Linked DNA regions of Neurospora crassa OR74A. The protein of the gene in region 2 interacts with the protein of the main gene of each other region in a pairwise test. Links are inferred from orthologs where the notes say so. Each region holds a gene or a part of one and is shown on either strand. Other genes may lie near its edges.

Region 1 (4,750 bases), on a different chromosome or scaffold from region 2:
TGCCAATCCTAGCGATCCACCTGCCACCATGGCCCCAAACAGTTTTGCAATGTTGACAAGCCGCCGCATGTCCATCGCATCTACATCCTCCTCATCCTCCGCGTCATCGCCAAAAACTGACTCTCCGAGACGCCTGAATAGCTTCCAGAGCGCGTCTTGGAACGACCACCGGATTTTGCGATCCCCGCAAAGCTTCTTGGCCACCAAGGTGTAGTATGGGTTGTAGACCTGCTCTGCGCCGGCACACTGGATGACCACGTATGGAATCTCTCTCTGTCGCTCCTTGTTCAGGCGCAACTTGAGGATGCGGTAGTAGGCATCTTCGTAGTCCGTGGCGGACATTATCGACACAAAGATGGACCGGCGCACGTCCGTGTTCATCTGGTTTTCTCTGGCAAGTTCTCCGAGGTCAGGCATGTCCTCGACATCCTCCAAGACAAAGCTTTCGTCGTCCGAGTCAACGCTATCCTGTATGACACCGTCCTGGGTCAATGGCTTCTTGTCACTGTCCTTATCTCTGCCTGCCCAGCTAGCGCCTACAAGCCACCATTTGCCCTTCTTGTCGGCATCGCGTATATCGGCAAGGGTCATTCGCAAGGGCTCGGCCGTCTTGATGGTTTTCAAGGTGCCCAAAAGCTTCTTCATCTTGGTTGTGTGCTCCGTGAGAACGGCGGAAGCGCCTAAACCCGTCTTCATCTTGTTGTTTTTCAGGTCGTTGATGGTCTCAATCATGAATTTAGTTCTGACGCTGAGGTTCTTCTCTCCGATCTTGGCAACAGCCGGGCGGATAAGGGTAACAATGTCCTTGACAGACATGGGGTCATCTTGTCGGAGGGCTGGGCCAGCAATGCGCACAATTCTGAGCAAAAGTTCCGCGTTCAGCTCCGAAAGATCACCCAAAAGGATTCGAATGAAGTCGAAGAGCAAGTTAGGGCCCACGAGTTGAAAGTTATAGAGTTCGGATAGGAAAGTGATGAGGTTGGATGTCTGTTTCGGCACGTCTGGCCGCTCCTTTGCAGCCTCTTTGGCCTCTTCATAATGCCTATCAAATCGCTCGATCACTTCTTGAATTAACTGTGCGCCAAAGTCCATGCCAATCACCTTGAAGATACCCGTAGCGAAACCCGCGGTAAGCACGAGCAACGTATCAGGCAGCGTCGTTGGCTCGCACACCTGAATGAGTAGGAGATCGACAATGTTCGACGTAAGATGTTGTCGCGGGTTGTCGCGGTAAAGCTTTTCAAAGTCCATAATGATGGATAAAAGATTAGACTCTGTCATCCTGTTGATGAGACCTTGTGTTTGACGGCGAATGTGGGCCACCAACTCCGCTTCTGAGCCCGCCTCCTGTCGCTTCGATGGTGGCACGTATTTCACTACAGTCCGCCCAGTTGTAGGCGCAACATATGGGTTTTCGCGGACCCGTTCTGGCGGCTTTTGTAGCGTTTCTTCGTCGTTGTCGGATTCGTCGTCGTCGCCGTCGTCCTCGTCGTCGTCCTCGTCGTCGTCCTCGTCAAATCCTCCAAAATCCCCCTCATCCTCGCCCAAGATGCTGTCTTCTTCTCCATCTTCATCAGAATCGCCTTCGACCATGTCTTCGTCTTGGTCAACGTCGTTGTCTTCGTCCGAGTTCAATCCCTCTAAGAGATCGTCCAAGCCATCGTCCTCTTCGTCCAGTTCGGAGACTTCATTTTCTTCCTCGTCTAGTTCGAATTCCTTCGTCTTCTTGGCCTCTTCCGCTTTCCTCCTTTTCGCCGCAAGCCACTCATCCGCTTCGGACTTCCGCTTCCTTTTCTCGGCTGTTTCGTCGTCTACGCCAGGAAGGCCTTCTAGTAGATCAAGAAGACCATCCTCCTGGAAGGACTTGGGAAGCGATTTGCGTCCCTTGATGCCGAGCTTCTTTTCGAGGTCTGCGATCTCCTTGTCGTCTTGCGCCAATCGTTCCATGACAGTTTTTGAGATTTTGGGCTGCGACTTCGATATGGTTTGTGTTGGGACATCACTTTCCTCTTCATCGTCCACGTCTTCGCCGTCTTTGTCGTCTTCTTCGTCGAGGTCTAGCTCATCGTCCTCGTCCTCGTCAAGATCGATATCGCCCTCGTCATCGAAATCCTCATCATCGTCCTCTTCGAGGGCAACATCTTCATCCTCATCCTCCAATGATCGTTTCTTCCCGTTCTTCAAGATGGGCTTGGGTTCCTTTGCTTCCTTTGACGATGCGGCATCGACCTTCTTCTGTGGTTTTGGGGCTGTAGCGCGCTCGGTATGGTAACTTCTTGTGGACGAGGTGCGGTGAATCCTTTTCTGTGTTCTCTCTGCTTTACGGCGATCCTTTCTAGACTGAAATTGATTCTTGCGACCTCCGTGAGATTGTCCTGCAAGAGTTAGGATTTCGTCGGAGAACCCTGATTGCCAGGCAGGAATGACAATGGCTGTATGGGCGCATGAACGGAGGCACGCTCACCTTCTACGCCGAGCTCCTTCAGGAGGTTGTCAGGCAATTTTGGAGCCTTTATCCTCATGGAGGGTGCCATGTTGTAATATGCGCGTGCGGAGGTGTAGATGTGATTGATTGGCACGACCTCCAAACTTTGCAAGGCTCTCTCGTCCGTCGCTGCATGGAAGAGCGCGGGATCGGGACCTTGCTATCGTTATCAGATAGTTTTTTTGGTTATCGGTCGGTGCAGGGTTCCAGGCATGTCGACTGCGGGGCCAAGAGCGCCAAGAGATGAAGCGGGTCCTCCGCTGCTTGGGACCCCACCCGGCTGGTTTTACGCTGGGGAAGCTCACTCCTACCAGACAGACGGGAGCTGCCCGGCCAACAGCAGTGGGGAAAGCTGCCACTCTCGTTGACTTTCATCAATCATTCTAGGTTGCCTTCACATTCACTCCTCAGCCGAATTGTTGTCTTGCCTTTTGCAAACGAGCATAAGAAGAAGACGAAAAACAACTGGATATCATGGGTCATTTAACTCACGATGAGGTAATGTTATATGTGACTGGCTGCTGTGATCCCGTCCTGAGGAGACCATGCTAATCTGACTTCAACCGACTATGGTATATAGTTCTTCTCCAAGCTCACCAATCTGTTCGAGTATAGGAAGAACCAAGATCACGGAACCATCAACCTAGTACAAAAGAGGCGTACGTGTACCTACACCAACCCAGCGCAGACAGGAAACTTCACACTCGGCTTTGCTATCGTCACGACAATCCTCCCAATTTCCGCTGTTTTCCAAGCTTAAACTCCATCTCCATCCACCCACGATGAGCTAAGTAGAGTGAAGCTCCGTCACCAAAGCTAACCCTCCCACAGTATCCTACAGCACCCCTTCCCAATCCACGGATACCGACCCTCTCACTGACCTCAACCCTGCCACCCCGCTCCCGGTTCTCATCCGCGCCACCAACGCCAAGGGCAAGGACAAGAGGACAGAAAAGGTCAAGCTGTCCACCATTGTCGAGCCAGCCGACCTGGAAACCTTCTACGGGAGGTACGCCGATGTTTGCAAGAAGGGCATGGGGGCATTGAAGCCGAGAGACAGGACCAAGAGGAAAAAGCAGTCGAGGAAGAAGAAGACAGGTCCTGCAGCCGCTGGAGGTCCTGGTGTTGGTGCTGGTGGGACTTCTATGATGGCTATTCCCTGATTGGACTCGAAACAAGCGTTGCAAATTACACCATTGCTGTTTCTGTCTTCTTGTGTGTACATGACCTAACGGAAGGAGGGATCTGTATGAGGGTACCGTATTAAATTTTGTAATATTCCCAAGCTTTGGTGGAATACCCTGGTTCAAGTCAGTGGGTACGCATGGTAAGGAAAGCGTTGGTGAGTAGTACCGCATCATAGCCTTCAATCTGCCACTCTCGGTTACCCTACCTCTCGACTCACCTGCTCGTAGTTGGTATTACCCTTCAAGACGACTAGCGAGAAAGGAAGGGAAGAAAAAAAAGGTGTTGGGAGAGGGGGGGAAGGGGGAATATGAAAAGCTCAGCTGCCTATCTAGCGTGCAGCGCACATCTACTATCTACGTGAGCTACTGGAGTTAATGAAAGGTGCGAACTAAAGGGATCATATGCCCGTTCTGGAGAATGTTCAGTCCTGCCGCAGGAAGTATGCGGCCCTTCGTGGAAATGGAGATGGAAGGGAAAGAGAGGAACATGAAATGAATGAGTGACGGAAGAAGCGTGAGAGAACGACTGCTGTGCCTCAACAGAGAAGCTGTTGAACGAAGGGGAGAGTAAGAGCGAGCCGAATTGATAACGTTCATATGCTTGTTCCAAATCTGCTGGCTGGCCTTCACGATCCTGTCTTGGGTGTGAACTTGATCACCGGGAGAGCGTGTATCTCCAGGTGACTCGATCTAAACGGTCCTATTAGCAAAGTTAACATTTCTCATTTGGTAAAATAACAAGACTGCCCGGGTGGAGCAGCAGCTACCGTACCCTGACGTCAAGCGTAGATATATTTGAGCCGCACTTATGAGCATCAGCTGAAGGGCAACCGGCTCACCCGTTCTCCACTCGATTCACCATTATGAAACACCACGAACACGTCACATCACGTTGGCTTCACCTTGATTGGCTTTGATTCAGGTTACCAAGAGTCGCAGTTCCAATGTTCGACCTTAATCCTAAGGTCAACCGAGATAATTGCATGTTCTCTTCAAGAGTACAGTCTAAAGGTGGGGGGATGTAGGTGAAACAAGATCAACTGTCCATTTTGAGGGTCCGAACCGTAAACAACTTGCT
Region 2 (6,441 bases):
CTTGCCATCCTCTGAGTCTCGAGAACATAGCTACGGAATAGACTACACTCCCGTTTCCATACAGACGTGCCTTATCCCACCGTCGACGTTAGCATCCGAGGTTCAAACGCATATCCCCAGTAGGGAAGCTCGCACACCGGCCGTTTCCAGTTCCACATTGACAAGCACAGCCCCTGTTACGGCGCTTATCCCGTGCGGGTCTCGAGTCGCTCGCAACAAAAGAATTCTTGCGGAACCGGACATCGGGAGGAGCGGCCAAGTGACAGCTGCTCTACGACCGGCCTGACCACACTCTGCCTGCCTAACCACTTGCTAACCTACTATTGTCAGAACGCCCTAAGCAGACAGCTTGAGGATAGCTCTGTCTTCTCCATCATTAAGCAAGGTTGTTTTCTTTGGCTACCATTGTTTTGACTTGTCAAGTGCCATATCGGCTACCACAGACCAGCTCACTTCGCTGCCTGCAAAGCCTCAAGTTTAAACATCAAAATATTAAAACCCACCGGGTTAACCATCATCATGGCTGCCCCCGAAAGCGACCTTATGGCCTTCTACCAAAGGTTTCAAACCCTTAGTCTTTTTAACGACAGCAGCGCGAGGCTGATAGAGGTGGGCTTCCGTCCAACAGAGTGACTGAGAGGTTGAAAGATGGACCTTTCTCAACTCATGCCAGTCTCTATTCATTAGGCTGACATGTATCTGTGCAGGACCTCCTCCTTTACTCCAAAAACGTTGAGGATGCTCTCCGCGACGAAAACAGAGCCCTTAGGAGACAGCTTACAGATGCCCAGCTCGATCTTGAGGATGCCACTCGTTCTAGAAGAGACCTCCAGCAGCAGGTGGCGAATACCGAGTCTCGTAACAGGGACCTTGCTCAAGATAATCATCACTTGAAGGTGAGGGTCACTGGCCAGTCTGGTCGAGACAGTTATTGAAACAGAATCTGCAGAACAACAATCCTTTTGTGGTCGTCCTCATAGACGGTGACTGCTGTTTGGTATGTCCACCCCTGGTCTCCTGCTTCCCCCCTGCAGCTGTCTAACTCCTTGTTGCAGTTTAAAGAAGCCTTAATCAGACAAGGAGTCGAAGGCGGTAAAAAGGCGGCTTATGCTTTGCGAAGCGCTATTCTTGAGCAATGCGGCGATTTTGCGGGCAATATGGAAGTCATTGCAAAAGTCTATGCCAACCTCGGTGGCTTGGCCAAAGCCATGAGACGCAACGGATGCCTGGAGGCTGAGGAAACTCTCAAGGAGTTCACCATTGGCTTTACTCAAGGAAAGGCAACCTTTGACTTTGTTGATGTTGGCCACGGAAAGGAGCGCGCGGATAACAAGATTAAAGGTGGGTTAATCTGTCCCAGTAGCACACTTGATAGATACTAACCGAAAACAGAAACGGCGAAATGGAATTTGCGCAACTACAACTGTAAGCAGCTTCTTCTCGGCATTTCGCATGATGCCGGCTATGCTCCATTCCTGGATGAGCTCTTCCAAGATGAGACCAAGAAGCGCCGCGTTACCGTCGTCGAAGGTATTCCGACTGTTCGCGAACTCGTGTCCACCGGCGTCAACATTTTGAACTTCAACGACGAAATCTTCCGATCGGAGAAGCTGGTAGACAAGACATCACTGCGCACCAACACTTCTCCCTTGATTACCACGTCATCTTCATCTACCACCACTCCTACTGTCAGCAACGGCAATCTTCCGACTCCCACCAGCTCCACCACGTCTACGCCCGCGAACGCAACTGCTAGTTATGCCGGAGCTATTGGAAACGCGAGCCCTCCGCCCAAGATCACGCTTCCTATCCAGCCTAGACCTGTGAACGCAAATGCTCGTGCCTCGGCCACCCCGAAGCAGCCGGCCTGGAACCCCGGTCCTCGTGGCTTGGACCCGCCCATCAAGGTCTCACCAGCTGCTCTGGAAAGTATCAAGAAAAGGAAGGACAACAACAAACTTTGCAACAATCATTATCTAAGGGGTCCCTGTTCAAAGGGCGACGCCTGCTGCTTCGAACACAAGTATAAGCCTAGCAAAGAAGAGATTGACGCTATTGCCTTCTTGGCCCGCTTGAACCCTTGCACCAGCGGCCAGGATTGCGATGTCGAAGATTGTATTTATGGACACCACGTAAGTTTCACTCATCATGCCTCGAGTTCTGGTTATGTGCTGACCGTAATCACAGTGCCCCAACGTCAAGGACGGTGTCTGCACTCATCCTTATTGCAAATTTGAGGATGCCGATCACCCGCCCGGCACGAAGTACAGAAGCACAAAGACCTATGACTACTTCTCTTAAACAGGGAACGACGTAGCTTTAAGGGGAGCTCTGACGCGGTGTGGAGAAGATGGGCGTCTGCGAGTGAAGACCCATCTGATGAAGGGGGTTTCCTCAAAAAGAGTTTGGGAAAAGAAATTTATCGAAGAGGAGGCTTTCTCAGCGAAGGGAATGCGATGGCGAGCTGTCCGAATAGGAGGCATCTGAGATGAAAGGCACCAAGAAACGGATTTCACGCTCAGGGGCTTGCTGTGGCTGTTGCCTTTTGCGAACTGATCATTTCTCTAGTCTATTCAAATCAGGAGTCAGAATTTAGGAGATAGTTTGAGTTGTTTGTTGTTTGCGGATGCTAAACAGCGGAGGAACATGACGTACAAAATACAATCTAGTTTGTTTGTTAGCTTAGTACATACCTGTTCCAAGTACACTTGGACGAGATCACTTCCGAAATGTGCCAAATATTAGAACGACTAAATGCATGGCGAGGTACAGATGACACGCATCAACACAAGATTTATTTTGGAAAAAGCATATTCATAAGAACGCAAAGTATCACCTGGACATGAAAATGCTTGGTGAAGTTGACTCGAGGTTGGCGGTTGGTGCCGCTAATTCGTTGCCGGCCCGGAGCCGTGTGCACGGACCCCACTTTATTTCCCCCGGCCGGCTACCCCACTCAACTCAATTGAAACCACATCGACAGCTTGGACGGGCCACCCCACATTTCTCCAACAACTCACGGGGAGCTGTTGGTTCATCTGTTCAACCACCGCGACCTTCCACTTCCCCCCCCCCCTGCCATAATTATCACAGACCTAGTCGCCTCAGCTGTATTTGCGCATTCAGAGTTTGACTTCACCAAAATACCTACCCACCGAGCAAAGATCAAGAGCTACAGTCTCAGTCACAGACAACCGCCAAGATGCCTTCCCACCCGCGGGTAGAAGAAGTCGAGGACAGCGACCTTGAAATGTCCGACCCCTCCGAGGGCGACATTGACGACTTTGCCGAATCCGACATTCTCGTCCAGCGCGACGCTCCTCCCGCCTACGCCTCCAAAGTCATGCCCGGGCCCTCCTTCACCCCTCTCTCCGCCGCCCACCGCGCGCAGGCCGAAAAGCAACACCAACAATTCCAAGCTGCCCAGGCCGCCCAGGCTGCCGCCGCCGCTCAACAACGACAAGTCCCTCCCCCACAATATTCCCAACAACAACAACAACGACAGTACACCCAACCCCCCGGCTACCCCCAGATGCAAACCACCACCGACGACTCGGCCTACAAATCCTTCCAGTGCCTGTACCCATGCTACTTTGACGCCACGCGCTCGCGCGCCGAAGGCCGGCGCGTATCCAAGGAGCTAGCTGTTCCCAACCCGCTAGCGACCGAGATCGTCAACGCCTGCGCGCAGCTCCGCCTCTCCGTCGTTCTCGAGGCAGGCAAGCTGCACCCCAAGGACTGGGCCAACCCGGGCCGCGTCAAAGTCAACCTGAAGGAATTCATCCGTCTGCATGGCGAGAATGGGAAGCTGAAGAATAAACACCACTTGTATATCCTCGTGGCGGAGCATCTGAAGAAACACCCGACGACGGACGAGAGTCCGGCGCTGAGGGTCGTGGTGAGGGGCGCGGGACCCCCGCCTAGAGAAATGCTGGAGGAAGGCAAGAAGTGGCCGAGGCCGGCGGTGCCGAGGGGGTGGAAGATGAGTGAGCTGTTGCCGTACTATAGTCCGGCGATGACGGGCGGTGGGGTCAGTGAGAATTTCTTGAAGGATATGATGAAGGAGATGGGACCTGGTGGGATGCCGGGCATGCCGGGGATGCCAGGAGGAGGAGCGGGAGCGGGAGCGGGTGGGATGCCGGATATGGCGAGCTTGTTGCAGGGGATGGGAGGGATGGGAGGATTGGGTGGGTTGGCGAATATGTTGGGGGGGATGGGTGGGATGGGAGGTAGTGGTGCGACGAGTCCGGGGGCGAGTGGAAGTGAGGCGGCGGGGAAGAAGAAGGGGAAGGGAAAGAAATAGGGTGCTAAGTCTAGGGGTGGGAAGATGTGAAAGGAGTTGAGAGCGATGCTCATGATTGAGAAAGATTCAACCTGCCAGCAAGCCTTTTTCCCGCTTTGCCGTATAACATAATGAACAACAAACAGCGTAGACCGCAGAAAGCAGTTTACCAAAACGATAATACCATGTACTTTTTAACGAAGCCCCGTGGCCGGCTCGTCCGAAACAAAATAGATGAGACCAGCTAACAGCCTAGGTAAATCAGTCCGCTACCGCCCGTCGAGGTTTTTTTTTTTTTTTTTTTTTTTTTTTTTAGAGAGGTAGAGGTATATGATAAGAAGGATCATGATGCTCTTGTTACCCCAAATTTTTTTTTTAAGTTTTCGTTTTTGTTTACTCGAAACGGGATCTGCTCTCACGGGGCTTTTTTCGGCTTCTGTGTTTGCAATAACTTCACAGTTACCTGTTACTTTTTTTATTCGTCGAACTTTAGGGTGGTAGTCGGGGAGCCTACTATAAACTACAACAACCGAACACTTCCTGGTTGTCTTTGAGCACAATGAGCGATGGTAAGTTCCGCCAATAACCAACACCTTTCCTCTTTATCCTACGTGGGAGTCTAGGTACTTCCCCATCGCTAATCACCTTGGTTAGTCCTTCCCTCATGCGCCTCACTCAGTCCATCAGAATCCTGAACCCATCAACGAATACAGTCTCTACCACGCCACTCTGTTATCAACAGCTGAGTATTTGAAGAGGTTATTCGTGGTATCCGAGACTGAGATTCACCTCAAAGATAATGCGGCGGCGGCGACTCCCAGAACTCCTTTTCCCTCGAAAGAAGACGCCTTTTCTCAAAAGCGGCGTGAGGGTGTTGTGCCGGGAGCGGAGGCTGAGGTCAACTTTAGCCACTATGCTGAGAAAAAAAGATCAACTCGAACCTGTGCAACATCAACATCAGGACAGAAGCAGGATCGCGATCAGGACCATCTCACCCTCTTGACCTCCCTCAGCGAACAAACCACCTCCCTACTCCAGACATACTCCCAGTTTCAATCAAAAAGCAAAGACAAAGGAGATACCAACGTGTTGGAACGAGTAACTGTGCTAGGGCAGGTAGCTCTAGTCCTAGCTTCTTCGCTTATTGCAGTGTCCGCAGCGTCTGGAGATGATAAGGTTGAGTGTCGTTTGGCTGCTTATCCCGAAGCTCAGACAGAGGCACATGCACAGGCACAGGCTCAGGCTCAGAGAGAGGCGGCGGTGGCATTAGCGAATATGGGCGTGGCGCTTGTAAAGCAGTTTGATGGGACGGGGGATAGGAGGGATTTGGAGGAGGCGGGGGGGGGGGGGGGGGGGGGGATTCATGCCAGGGATGGAGGTTATAGCAGGGAGAGGGAAGTAAGGGTTAAGAGGGGGGAGATAGAGGGAGTTGGTAAGGGGAATTGGAAGTGGGAGGTGGGTGGATGAGAGGATGAAGATGGGGATGGGGTTGATGTTGACGATATGGATGGGGATGAGCGTGCTGAGGTTCTGGTGCTGTTGGAAAAGGTCGGGGAGTTGTTGGGTGAGCGAGGGTTTATGGTATAGATGTGAGTAGTTGCAGAGTGATGAGATCGAGAGGAAGGCGGGGATTTTGCTGTCCTGAATACCGTTTGAAGATCGGAAATGCGCCGACAGAAGTGATCAGAGTAATGGGGTTGATGTGTCTGGAGGTTTCGGTAGTCAGGCTGGCTGGTGACGGATAGGGAGGGACTGGATGATGGTTGACCAATGATTGGCTGTGGAAGCAATCTGGAAGAGAAGGAGCTGTGTCAAAAGCTCAGAGTCATAACTGGCAAGAGCTGCCCGCCAGCTACGGGCGAGAAACACCATTGGTCGAACACGACGAAATACAACCACACTATCTTGTGGCGCGGGTAGTGACTGCCGCGTGATGATAGGTTGCAAATCAGTAGTTGCCTCGACTGTTCTGATTGCCATCTTCATTGGATGGCTTTTTATCGGTATGCTTTTCGTAGCCACATCTTGCCCAACCTCCAGCTCGACCATCCCTTCGAAACTCTCAAGGCGACTTAGTTCTGCTGACACCCGACAACAACACTGTCCAGACGTCCCCCTCAAGACTCTTCGGAAGCCGTTCTGGCAACATAACTTTGTCC

The links. The genes of interacting proteins can lie anywhere in the genome.
Region 1: the proteins of NCU03485 (region 2) and NCU02405 interact in binary tests that used the Saccharomyces cerevisiae proteins (3 or more experiments, as listed by UniProt). The link is inferred for Neurospora crassa OR74A from reciprocal best matches to the Saccharomyces cerevisiae genes SEC65 and SRP14.

The regions. Positions count from the first base shown.
Region 1 is NC_026507.1:2,610,950-2,615,699, forward strand, and holds NCU02405 (hypothetical protein), read left to right. Parts: upstream 1-2,805; 5' UTR 2,806-2,959; coding exon 2,960-2,983; intron 2,984-3,065; coding exon 3,066-3,144; intron 3,145-3,316; coding exon 3,317-3,648; 3' UTR 3,649-4,248; downstream 4,249-4,750. Other genes in the region: NCU02406 (nuclear protein), read right to left, coding at 1-2,375, 2,465-2,534. UniProt on the Saccharomyces cerevisiae protein: Component of the signal recognition particle (SRP) complex, a ribonucleoprotein complex that mediates the cotranslational targeting of secretory and membrane proteins to the endoplasmic reticulum (ER).
Region 2 is NC_026502.1:522,269-528,709, forward strand, and holds NCU03485 (signal recognition particle sec65 subunit), read left to right. Parts: upstream 1-2,991; 5' UTR 2,992-3,202; coding exon 3,203-4,303; 3' UTR 4,304-4,567; downstream 4,568-6,441. Other genes in the region: NCU03486 (hypothetical protein), read left to right, coding at 520-609, 708-896, 950-997, 1,056-1,341, 1,393-2,132, 2,188-2,301. UniProt on the Saccharomyces cerevisiae protein: Signal-recognition-particle (SRP) assembly has a crucial role in targeting secretory proteins to the rough endoplasmic reticulum (ER) membrane.